Arabidopsis thaliana: one gene and its partner. The protein of the gene in region 1 interacts with the protein of each later gene in a pairwise test. Each region holds a gene or a part of one and is shown on either strand. Other genes may lie near its edges.

The links. The genes of interacting proteins can lie anywhere in the genome.
Region 2: the proteins of RK2 (region 1) and PUB38 interact in a two-hybrid assay, tested with the Arabidopsis thaliana proteins (one study listed by BioGRID).

What each region holds. Positions count from the first base shown.
Region 1 is NC_003070.9:24,470,326-24,478,028, forward strand, and holds RK2 (receptor kinase 2), read left to right. Parts: upstream 1-2,547; 5' UTR 2,548-2,840; coding exon 2,841-4,131; intron 4,132-4,500; coding exon 4,501-4,635; intron 4,636-4,728; coding exon 4,729-4,919; intron 4,920-4,995; coding exon 4,996-5,206; coding exon of another isoform or gene 5,207-5,211; exon of another isoform or gene 5,212-5,291; coding exon 5,292-5,529; intron 5,530-5,632; coding exon 5,633-5,783; intron 5,784-5,871; coding exon 5,872-6,198; 3' UTR 6,199-6,562; downstream 6,563-7,703. Other genes in the region: RK1 (receptor kinase 1), read left to right, coding at 297-431, 535-725, 802-1,012, 1,098-1,335, 1,439-1,589, 1,678-2,004; AT1G65810 (P-loop containing nucleoside triphosphate hydrolases superfamily protein), read right to left, coding at 6,718-6,799, 6,873-7,007, 7,089-7,652.
Region 2 is NC_003076.8:26,047,055-26,052,707, forward strand, and holds PUB38 (plant U-box 38), read right to left. Parts: upstream 2,993-5,653; 5' UTR 2,790-2,992; coding exon 1,119-2,789; 3' UTR 1,011-1,118; downstream 1-1,010. Other genes in the region: AT5G65180 (ENTH/VHS family protein), read left to right, coding at 1-12, 88-123, 249-752; AT5G65205 (NAD(P)-binding Rossmann-fold superfamily protein), read right to left, coding at 3,872-4,226, 4,312-4,471, 4,621-4,963; AT5G65207 (uncharacterized protein), read right to left, coding at 5,310-5,531. UniProt on the Arabidopsis thaliana protein: Functions as an E3 ubiquitin ligase.

The DNA of each region.
Region 1 (7,703 bases):
TTGTCCCTCTCGAAGCAAAGTTCAAACTCCCTAATCTATAGAGGCTTTGGTCAACAAAGTACATTCTTGATGTTTGGTCAATTTGTTTAGTTTTTTTTTTTTGTCATCTGTTTTTAATTAGAGATCAAAAGATTAATAAGAGTTTAGCTAGATCCAATACCATTATACCAAAAAGAATTTTTGTTTAAGTTAAATTAATTATTTTGTTTATTTTTCGTATTAATTTTTTTTAATCAAACGTACAACAAAGGATATTTTTCGTATAGAAGTAAATATATGCCTCGTTTTTATTGCAGAGGACAAGAGAATCAAAAATGAAAAAATTATAGGTTCGAGTATTGGAGTGAGCATTTTGCTTCTTTTAAGTTTTGTCATCTTCCATTTTTGGAAAAGGAAGCAGAAGCGATCAATAACAATTCAAACACCTAATGGTAAAATAAATCATTAGCTTTCATTTCCTTTATTTTTGTCAATAAATTTTGATAATCAAATGTCTTGATTGTTTTTTTTTTTTTTAACGCCTGAATGAAACAGTTGATCAAGTGAGAAGCCAAGACTCGCTAATCAACGATGTGGTAGTATCTAGGAGGGGTTACACATCCAAAGAAAAAAAAAGTGAGTACCTAGAGCTTCCATTGTTGGAGTTGGAAGCTCTTGCCACGGCAACAAACAATTTTTCTAACGACAACAAGCTTGGACAAGGTGGATTCGGAATTGTTTACAAGGTAAAAGTGATTCAAAACATATTGAAAATCTACCACAGCACATGGTTTCATTGTATAATCACATGTGTGGTAATAGGGAAGATTACTTGACGGAAAAGAAATTGCGGTAAAGAGACTATCGAAAATGTCCTCACAAGGGACCGATGAGTTCATGAACGAGGTTAGATTAATTGCAAAGCTTCAGCACATAAACCTTGTCCGGCTTCTAGGTTGTTGCGTCGATAAGGGTGAGAAGATGTTGATCTATGAGTACTTGGAGAATTTAAGCCTTGACTCGCATCTCTTTGGTTAGTGACTCAAACAGCTTCTGTTCTAATAATTGAACATTTTTGTGAAAACGTTAACTTGTTGTTGGTTGTGTTGGATGTGTAGACCAAACACGAAGCTCTAACTTAAATTGGCAAAAGAGATTTGATATTATCAATGGTATTGCTAGAGGACTTCTATATCTTCACCAAGATTCACGGTGTAGGATTATCCATAGAGACTTGAAAGCAAGTAACGTATTGCTTGATAAAAATATGACTCCAAAGATCTCGGATTTCGGTATGGCGAGGATCTTTGGACGGGAGGAGACAGAGGCTAATACAAGGAGGGTGGTCGGAACTTAGTAAGCAATCATTCTTCAACAAAACAAAAAAAGAGCTTTTATCTCAAGTCCAAATATTTTCTTAAAAACCTCATAACATATGAGTTTATATTTTGTTATGCAGCGGCTACATGTCTCCAGAATATGCAATGGACGGGATATTCTCGATGAAGTCGGATGTTTTCAGCTTTGGGGTCTTGCTTCTAGAGATTATAAGTGGAAAAAGAAACAAAGGATTCTACAACTCAAACCGTGATCTTAATCTCCTCGGTTTTGTAAGCTAAAAACCTCTTCAATTCGATATTGTTTTGCATTCATAATCTGATTATAACACTAAAGAAATATTACATCCTTTATGCACAGGTGTGGAGGCATTGGAAGGAAGGAAACGAGCTAGAGATTGTAGATCCGATCAACATCGATTCTTTGTCATCAAAGTTCCCGACACATGAAATCTTAAGATGTATACAAATTGGTCTCTTGTGTGTTCAAGAACGAGCCGAAGACAGACCAGTGATGTCCTCGGTAATGGTGATGCTTGGAAGCGAAACTACCGCTATTCCTCAGCCTAAACGTCCTGGATTTTGCATTGGTAGAAGTCCTCTTGAGGCTGATTCTTCTTCAAGTACACAGCGCGACGATGAATGTACAGTGAACCAAATCACTCTCTCGGTCATTGACGCTCGGTAATTTGTAACTTACGGCCCAATCTGTTTACATGCATATCATTTTATAGGTAAGTCTAAATAGATTTTATTACTACATATATGATTCGATATCTTGCTCTATCTAATTTAATTTAGACAAAAGATTCACCACATGTTTCACATGATTTTGATTTAGAGCGAGAATTATAAAAAAAAAACATTTAGACAAAGACAAAAAAATGCAAGATTTGGAGTTGTCACTCCAAGATTTGAAGTTTGAGACCGAAACTCAATTAAGTGGGAATTCAGTAATGATTAATATTCACTTTTTGTACATACTACTGATAATAGACCAATACTGGAAGCGAACATAGGACTTTATGGCTATTACAACAGAGGACTTTATGAAACAAATCGAATATATACCTTAAACTTTTATGAATTCATCGGTGAAGCATTCTCTTGCATATAACATTTAGTATGTCGCCAGCAACATTGAAATTTTGTCTATTCTCGTACACACACACACAAATGGTTGAGGATATTATTTTTTTGGAGTAAACGAAGAAAAGTCAGTTACTAGGAAATTACAAAACCATAATTATCAATTTAACGACTTTTAAGGTCATTGACTCAATTCTATAGTGACATAGTCTATAGATATTTCAAAAGCGAACAAGAAGACCAAGAAAATGTAGCTGAAAATGAAATATTATCAACAATAGAGAGAAATCGTGTAAATGACGTTCACACATTTCAACACCAAACATGTCGTAATCTCCGAAGATAAAAATTCTCAATTATATGTACATAAAATTTTCATAAGAAGAAAATAAAACAGAACACAAGAAAGTGTCCTAGCTAGAGAGAGAGAGAGAGATGAGAAATGTACCAAACTATCATCATTCTTACTTCATATTATTCATCATAATTCTGTTTCTTGCTTTCTCTGTTTATGCAAGCAACTTTTCAGCCACAGAATCTCTCACTATCTCAAGCAACAAAACCATTATATCTCCTAGTCAAATCTTCGAGCTCGGTTTCTTCAATCCCGACTCAAGTTCACGTTGGTATCTCGGCATATGGTACAAGATAATCCCTATAAGAACCTACGTATGGGTTGCAAACAGAGACAATCCTCTCTCTAGTTCCAACGGAACTCTCAAAATATCCGACAATAACCTCGTCATTTTCGATCAGTCCGATAGGCCTGTTTGGTCGACGAATATAACCGGAGGAGATGTGAGATCACCAGTGGCTGCAGAGCTTCTTGATTACGGTAATTTTGTTCTTAGAGACTCCAAAAATAATAAACCAAGTGGATTTTTGTGGCAGAGTTTCGATTTCCCGACAGATACTTTACTATCGGATATGAAAATGGGATGGGATAACAAAAGCGGAGGATTCAACAGAATCTTGAGATCTTGGAAAACCACAGATGATCCGTCAAGCGGAGATTTCTCGACTAAACTCCGAACCAGCGGGTTCCCGGAGTTTTACATATACAACAAAGAGTCCATAACGTACAGGAGCGGTCCATGGCTCGGAAATCGGTTTAGCAGCGTACCGGGGATGAAACCAGTTGATTACATAGACAACAGTTTCACAGAGAATAATCAACAAGTTGTTTACTCATACCGAGTCAACAAAACCAACATTTACTCGATATTAAGCCTAAGCTCCACGGGACTATTACAACGATTAACTTGGATGGAGGCAGCACAGAGTTGGAAACAGTTATGGTACTCACCAAAGGACCTATGTGATAACTACAAAGAGTGTGGGAATTACGGTTATTGCGATGCGAACACTTCACCTATTTGTAATTGTATCAAAGGGTTTGAGCCAATGAATGAGCAAGCGGCTTTGAGAGATGATTCTGTTGGTTGCGTGAGGAAGACGAAGCTAAGCTGTGACGGTAGAGATGGGTTTGTGCGGTTGAAGAAGATGAGACTGCCAGATACTACAGAGACAAGTGTGGACAAAGGAATTGGGTTGAAAGAATGTGAAGAGAGGTGCCTAAAGGGTTGTAATTGTACGGCGTTTGCTAATACGGATATTCGTAATGGCGGTTCAGGTTGTGTGATTTGGTCCGGAGGGCTGTTCGATATCCGAAATTATGCTAAGGGAGGTCAGGATCTTTACGTTAGAGTAGCTGCTGGTGATCTAGGTTAGTTTTTCTTTGCTCTTTTGGTTTTTATTTTATTGTTTAGTTGACTAATAGGTTCTAAGCCAAGGTCCGTAACATAACGGCTTGATCCACTAGGTCCGACCATATAAAGAGTATATGGTCCACAAAGTATCTTGTTGATGTTTGGTCAATTTTTTTAGTTTATTACTTGAAGATATACAAAATACTAGAATAACTTATATATCAAAAGATTAATATGGCTTAAGCTAGTTCCAATACCAAAAAATATATTAATTATTTTGTTTATGTTATTGAATAATATTTTATCAAAAATACGTAAGTACAACAAAGTATACTTTGGAGTTATTATTATGATTGAAGAAAATATATGCCTCGTCTTTATTGCAGAGGACAAGAGAATCAAAAGTAAAAAAATCATAGGTTCGAGTATTGGAGTGAGCATTTTGCTTCTTTTAAGTTTCATCATCTTCCATTTTTGGAAAAGGAAGCAGAAGCGATCAATAACAATTCAAACACCTATTGGTAAATCAACAGCTTTCATTTCCTTTATTTTTACTTCAATTTTTGATAATTAAATGTCTTAATTGTTTTTTTCTGTGTGTCTAAATGAAACAGTTGATCTTGTGAGAAGCCAAGATTCTCTAATGAACGAATTGGTAAAAGCAAGCAGGAGTTACACATCCAAAGAAAACAAAACCGATTATCTAGAGCTCCCATTGATGGAGTGGAAAGCTTTAGCCATGGCAACAAACAATTTTTCGACGGACAATAAGCTTGGACAAGGTGGTTTTGGTATTGTTTACAAGGTAAACATGACTCATAACTTGTTGAAAATCTATCACTGGCAATGGTTTCATTGAATAATCAAATGTGTGGTAATAGGGAATGTTACTTGATGGAAAAGAAATCGCGGTAAAGAGACTATCGAAAATGTCTTCACAAGGGACCGATGAGTTCATGAACGAGGTTAGATTAATTGCAAAGCTTCAGCACATAAACCTTGTCCGGCTTCTAGGTTGTTGCGTCGATAAGGGTGAGAAGATGTTGATCTATGAGTACTTGGAGAATCTAAGCCTTGACTCGCATCTCTTTGGTTAGTGACTCAAACAGCTTCTGTTCTAATAATTGAACATCTTTGTGAAAACGTTAACTTGTTGTTGGTTGTGTTGGATGTGTAGACCAAACACGAAGCTCTAACTTAAATTGGCAAAAGAGATTTGATATTATCAATGGTATTGCTAGAGGACTTCTATATCTTCACCAAGATTCACGGTGTAGGATTATCCATAGAGACTTGAAAGCAAGTAACGTATTGCTTGATAAAAATATGACTCCAAAGATCTCCGATTTTGGGATGGCGAGGATCTTTGGACGGGAGGAGACAGAGGCTAATACAAGGAGGGTGGTCGGAACTTAGTAAGCAATCATTCTTCAACAAAACAAAAAAAGAGCTTTTATCTCAAGTCCAAATATTTTCTTAAAAACCTCATAACATATGAGTTTATATTTTGTTATGCAGCGGCTACATGTCTCCAGAATATGCAATGGACGGGATATTCTCGATGAAGTCGGATGTTTTCAGCTTTGGGGTCTTGCTTCTAGAGATTATAAGTGGAAAAAGAAACAAAGGATTCTACAACTCAAACCGTGATCTTAATCTCCTTGGTTTTGTAAGCTAAATACCTCTTCAATTCGATATTGTTTTGCATTCATAATCTGATTATAACGCTAAAGAAATATTACATCCTTTATGCACAGGTGTGGAGGCATTGGAAGGAAGGAAAAGAGCTAGAGATTGTAGATCCGATCAACATCGATGCTTTGTCATCAGAATTCCCGACACATGAAATCTTAAGATGTATACAAATTGGTCTCTTGTGTGTTCAAGAACGAGCCGAAGACAGACCAGTGATGTCCTCGGTAATGGTGATGCTTGGAAGCGAAACTACGGCTATTCCTCAGCCTAAACGTCCTGGTTTTTGCGTGGGGAGAAGTTCTCTTGAGGTTGATTCTTCGTCAAGTACACAGCGAGACGATGAATGTACAGTGAACCAAGTCACTCTCTCGGTCATTGACGCTCGGTAATATGTAAGATTGTAAGTTATCGACCCACTCTTTTTATATAAAAATATAGACACAGGGCAGTAAGGTCTCCACACTAGGGGCTGATACTTTGCATCAGTCAGTGATACCTTGTGTAACAAGTTTCCTTTGCCTCCATGGAACGTATACAAAAGTTGTATTCAACTTCGTTGTAAATATAATTAAGATAAAAAGAAAAAACCAAAGAGGGTATAAACCCACAAGGATAGCTACAATTTCCGGAGATCCGGATGAGGAGGAAGCATGATACCAAGCTTGAGAATCCTTACAAAATCCCACTACTGCGATAGCATTATATTTATAGTGAAGAAAAATTGTGATCTAAGATGATACACATGTTCAGTGATCACTGATCAATGACCAATTTAAGTATGTCTGACAAATAGCAAAAGATAATAAGAGAAAAGTCACAAAAGGACGCAAAAGAAGCAGACACACAATGTTTTAAAAGACCAAAAGGAATACCAAATTGTCTGCTTTTGACAAAGAAACAGTCAAATTTCACTTAGGATCTTTGGGGTTAGATGTTGAAAGTTGAACCTTTCTTCTAATCTTCCACAGTTTCTTTAGCTTCACTTGTTTCCTGCAAAACAAATAAACAGAGAATATTACTGAAACTGCTTTGAAATCTCAAAGACTCATCAAATAAGCCTTACTTGATAGGTTTAGGACTCACAGTTTCCTCTTCCACAACACTGAGCAACGCAAATGATCTCGAAACATCGCTTACAATATCTTTCTTTGAACAAGAATTGGAATCAACCGGCCATTGCATTGGTACAACTAAATCACTGCATCATTGTGAAAACATAAAAACATAAATTTCTCATGTTTCAGATTAAATTAACACCACAAAAATTTAACTAACTCACCCTTGAGAGCATATGTATCGACACCGACTTATCTTGCCTTTCGTGTATCGCCTGTAATGTTTCTCTAGATGTTCTGTAACACGAGAAACATCAGTAGATGGCAAAACCTGCCAGATCTTCAAAACTTGTACATGTTGATTATTATTCTTGAAAATATCTATCGCCCAAATAAGACTTAAGCCATCATCAAACTCATGTTGTCTCAACAAATTCTCACTTTCAAACTCAACCTCTTGATGAAGCTCTTTCCCATTAGATAACTTCTCCAAAAAGCTCATAACTCTTTTATTAATTTCCGAGTCTACGATCGTTTCCAGAGATTTCAAGAACTCGTAGCTGAGCCAAACCTTCCATATCGAATTCTCAAAAGAAATAAGCTTCTTGTTTTGAAGCTTATTAAGATCATCAAGTGCTGTTGTTGATCTTTCAATACACTGAGCTAATGATTCATCTTCTTCTGCATTATGGAAACAGTTTCGTGCTTTCGCATCATCTACCAACTGTCTCCACACTGATCTATTGTTCGTTAAAGTCGCTTCGTTTCCAAGAATCCATAAGCAATACCTACAAACAAAAAGAGCTAAATCAAGAAACTGAGCATAGCTAAATCAAGAA
Region 2 (5,653 bases), on another chromosome or scaffold:
CTACGGGAACAGGTAAAGGTCTTGCAATCTTGCAAGTTCAATAATTTGCTCAGACATTTCAATTACTTACTGAGTTTTGTGTATCAGGAATCTGAATTGGAGAATCTTCAATCTCAGATACAGGTAAAAATCTGAATTGGTTTAATAATCCCTTTACGCCTGGGAACTATTTTGCAATCTTGAGTACAAGAAAACTGTATTTCTGCATCAAAATTGATTGTGTGTCTGTCTTTGTTCTTATTCATCAGGTAGCACAAGAACAAACCGAAGAAGCCCAAAACATGCAGAAACGGCTCAATAACGAAACACCGGTTAACAATAACAACGGAACATCTGGTCAATCAGCGAAAATCACTCCTGCCTCAATCGCTGCAATGGCGGAAATGCTAACCTCATCAACAAACTCATCAATGATTATGCATTCTGTCCTCTCTTCATTTGCAGCCGAAGCTACACAAACTTCTGGTCTAACCAAATCAAACACCTCAGACACAAATGCATTTGTTGTTCCTCCAAATCCTCAGCAGTATCACATAATACCAAATCCAGCCGCATCACAACAGTTTCCTTATGGATTTGGTAACATTCCATTAATGCCACCTGGAGCACTGCCGCCACCGCCGCCTGGAACGTTGCCGCCGCATATGATGAATAATAACAACCAACCAAATGCAGCTCAGCAACAAGCGCAACAAGGTCAGAGTTTTCATCCACCGGGTATGATGTATTTTGGACCTCCACACCATTCTTAAGGTTAGTAAAAACAAACCAAAAAATCCAATTAGTTCTAGTATTAGATAGTTTCTGACCCACTTTATTTTATTTCATGTAACGCATATTGTAGAAAGTAGAAACGAGATCTTTTGTCTTACAAATCTTGTACCTTGAGCTGTTTAGTCAATTTTTCTTCTTTGTAACATAGTTAGACTTCTATTGTGTATCTGCGTTACATTTATATCTAGTATGCGTTTGTTTCAAATGGATCTTTTATATATTGTACAAAATATATATACATCAGTCATGCTTTTTTTCTCACATATTTCAAGTCAAGTTTACAAAAAATTTCAATCACAAAACATTTTGAATGTCTACTATACAACAACAAATGGAATGGAACTTTAGAAGCCAGAGGAGTTTTGAGTGACCACTCTGTTTCTACCACCAACTCGGAATCTAGACCTAATTGAGCCGTTGGAGTCGATAACTCGGTCCCAATCAATTGATCCTTCGCCATCTTCTTCATCATCCTCCGGCACTCTTTCTCTCATCAGCTGAAGAATCTTCTTTGCTTTCTCTCTAGCTCTCTCTGTTCCTCTCTCTTCCACTTCCTTCAACACTTCCACTGCTCTCGCCTCCTTCGCTAGTCCTTTGAATCGAAGACTCTCGTGGCTCAATGCGAACAACGCCGCTACGCAATTCTCACGAGCCGATGACGATGACCGGGCCTCTGTCGGCTCCTCCGTCCACTCCTCCCTTAACTTCCCTACAAGAATCGCAACCGCATTCGCATCAAGCATCGCCGATCTTCCTTCACTACAACACGCTAAATTACAGATCACCAACAATGCCCTGCTCGCCGATTCACCGGACCTAACCATCGAGAAAAGCGCTGGTACCGCTCCAAGCCTAACGAGCTTTGATCGATTCGTCTGATTCAACGTCAAATGGTAAAGCGCGAGAGCCGAATCATGCCGCGTCCGATCACTCTCAGCTGCACGTAACGCGTGAAGCAATGGCTGAAGCGCTCCTAAAACTCCAATAGGCATTTTATTATCATCTTCAAGAGAAAGACTAAAGATTGTTCCAGCTGCGTGTTCTTGAGCTTCTCTAGACCCCGACTTCAGAACATCGATCAAAATCGGAACAAATCCTAACCGAACAATCGTCAATTTGTTCTTCTTATCCAAAGACAGATTCACAAGCGACGCTAACGCGTTCGTCTGCACTAAACTGTATCTCGAAACAATCATATTCTTCAACAAAGAAAGAATCCGAGGAGAACAAAGCGAAACCCTAGCTTCATCATTAGTACGAGTCATCTTCCTCATCATAATCAAACCTTGCTCTTGATCAAAAATCTCACTGCTCTTAAGCTTGTTGTAAATCACTTCGTCCTCTTCTGTGGCGGTGGAAGTAGAATTAGAGAAGAAAGTGTGGTGCGTTAGGGTTTCGATTTCGGAGGAAGAAGATGATGGAGATGGAGAGAAGCAAGCGGGTCTAGTTGTTAAAGGAAGAGGAGTGAATGGACTGTGAGCAACGATTACAGATTCATCAGAAGAGGTCGTGGAGTTGTTGAAATCTCTCCTTCCCATGAGTTCAGAATCAGCGTGGTGAATTATCATCGGAGCTCGGTGAGCTACAGCTCTGAGAAGCTCTTGCTCGGAGACACGAATCTCGACGTCCGGTGGAGGCATCTGTTGCCGTAAAATTCTCTCGACGGTGGAGTAATCAGGTGGCTGAGGACGTGAGACGCCGACGGTGTCGCACCAAGTATCGATTGTTGATTTCATGTTTAGGTTAGGGATGATGTTGGAGAAATCGGGTAGAGATTCTTCGTCGTCGTTGAGTTTGGGGATAAAGTTGAGGTCGCGACAGACTTGAACACAGACACGTTCGAAGGTTTGACCGGAAGAGACAACAACAGGGTCAGACATTACTGATTTTGAAATCGGACAGAGAAATTCGACCGGAGGTTGTTGTTCTTGTTGCTGTTGTCGTGAAGATGAAGAGGTTGAAGAAGACGATCTGTGGCTGAAAGGATTCCATCTGAGCCGTCCGTTTTTACCCATCTGCGACAAATCAACGGTCAGGAATTGGTGGTGAGTTTGATTTCTGAAAAGGGTTTTGGGTTTTATGGAGAGGAATTAGGGATTTGAATTCATCTTTCGTGATTTTCTGAGAAGAAGAAGAAAGATGAGAAGAGAGGAGAGTCGTCTTCTTCCTCCTGAACTGAAGGACTTTGTGGCCTACTGACTTTTTTTTTTTGGCTTTTGTTTATTTTCGAAGTGACTATTAATTTTTTTTTTAAAAACTTGAACATATTAGTAGTAATCGAAAATGTTGACTGTGAAATTAATATAGGTGGACCCAGATGTGAATTGGCTTTCATAGTTCATGCATTCTGAAAAGTTTTATTGCTTTCTTTTTCAGGTCAATTTTGTTCATATACTTTTCTTAAAAACATATCTTTTAACTTACGTACTTATAAACTTGGAATGTAATTTATCATTTTGGAATGTAATCTAATTTGTTTTAAAAGGATGACAATACAGTGATACACTGAAATATGTGGCATCAATAAGTTTAATTTTTGCTGAATAATAAAATGATTAGATTTTTCACTAAACATGATGGACATCCATGCCATTCTTAGCTTTAGGGGAAAAAAACTTTTCTCAGTTTTAGCTGTAAGCTTTACATTGAACCTCTGACCACTTTTTATCTTGTCCTCTGATGATGCATTGTTGGGTTGCAAGTTGCATCACAGATGATATGACATTTCCCCTACAAATCTTTGTACCAAAAACCAAAGTATAAGGGTAGTCTAGTAGACAATCTGGCTTTACGGTTTTATCTTGTTTCGAATTAAGTTTTACCTGTTTTATACAAACCAAAATCGAATAAAAACTCATTTTTAGTTCGATTTGGTTTTGGTTCGGCCTTTTGGATCTTTTACTATAAATGTAACATGGTTAGGCACTGTTTTTTTTGTTTATAACCAAGTTTCTGCTTAGCCACTGTTTTGTTTTTGTTTTTGCACACCCTACCAAAGTAGTACCTTGATTAATCCTTTTACTAAAGATGTAACATGGTTAGGCAACACATTTACTTTGTTGGATACATTTAAAACAGTTTCTAACCAAGAACACAACTATTCAGGTTTTACTCCCTTTTTCATAAAACTCTTAGTCAACAGAAAATCTTTCATGAAAATCGGTATATGGTGCATGATCGCCATGACTGTAGATAACCTACCTGTAGAGTACCAAGCCGGTGGGTTTTTCTTCAGCACCACGGAAACAGTCTCTTTCGCAAAAGTCTCTGTGGGTATCGGCTTTATGTTTTGCGACAGAAACGCTCTCTCACGGATAGCGTCCTCGAACGGTTTGTATAGTTTCAATTCAGGTAAATTGTTGAAACTCGATATCCCTGAGTTAGCTATGTTTGATTGAATACCTCCTGGTACAATGTTGATTACATCAATCCCAAATGGCTTAAGCTCCAACCTAGACAAACACAAAACAAGATAGTGTTTACTGTTTAGATGATATTAATCAAGCTGATGAAAAGAGACTGCTGAAATCGAAAAACCTTAAAGTGTCGGTAAGAGCATGAAGAGCAGCTTTTGATGCAGTATAAACCCCAGCCCATGGTCCTGGTGCCATTATGCTAATACTTCCTATGTTCACAATCTTTCCCTTTTTCTTAGACGCCATGTGAGGTACAACAGCTTGAGTCATCCTCATGGAACCTGCAAAGTTTCTTTACAAAGTTCAGTTCTTGAAGAGACTTCTCACAACCCAAATCAACAGAGCAAAATAAAACATGAAAGAGTTGAGTCAAGAATTTTAACAAACACATGGTGTGCATATAAGAAGTAACTCGAAAATTTTCATTCACCGAGCACATTGGTGTTGAAGGTGTAATCCATGGCTGAAATTGGAATCTCCGCCAAAGGTCCGATACACTGAACTCCGGCGTTATTAACCAAAACATCAATCTGACCAAATTTGTCGATAACTTTCGACACAACTTTACTCACGCTCTGCTCAGACTGAACATCGAGCTCTTGCACAAAGAACTTGGAATCTTTCTCCAATTCAGTCATCGTCTTCTGCGATCGACTCGTCGCCACCACACGACAACCATTAGCCGAGAACTCACGCGCCAACGCGTGACCGATTCCTCCCTGAGAACATCCTGTGATGAGAACCACTGGCGTCTCGTCGCTGCTGCTTCCCATTTTATATAATTTTGAATGAAAAGATTTAAAAGAGAAATCCAGAATATAAGGGTCGAATTGCAAAAATTACGCCGAAGTTTCTCAACACAGTATTAAGATGATGAAGTTTTAAAATTTTAGAATTCTTCCCCAGAAGTTTGTCCACGTATGCAACAAAGTCCCTGAGATTTGTTTTTTTTTTTTATCTTTTTTTACTCAACAGTGATTCGCCGGAGAAGACCAAGTCATTGATTCAACGGTTGATAAAATAAACAGATTAATTTACATATATTTACATAAAACTTCCCAAAAAGCAAAAAAAAAAAACAGAAATTAAGAAACGAAATTAGCTATGAACAAAATGGAATCAAGCAGAGAAGAAGCCATGAGAGATGGCTAAAGCAAACTCAGATTTAGCTTCAAAATTCTTCTTCAAACTCTCAATCTTCATCTTGTCAAAAGCTATAGTCATCTTCGCCGGAATTATCTTCCACCAATCAAATTCCACCGGCGATGATCTCGAACCCACCGTCGTATGCTTCATCCTCCTCTCGTACTCCTCCGCCACCAAAATCGCTATGTCCGCCATTTAATCGGTTATCTCCGGTTTATCTACCTCTGATGTTCGGTTATCTTTGGTTCTATGTTAGATGTTATTCAACGCAACTGGTATATATAGTGTGGCTTTGACGTGTGGTATTGGTTTTTGGA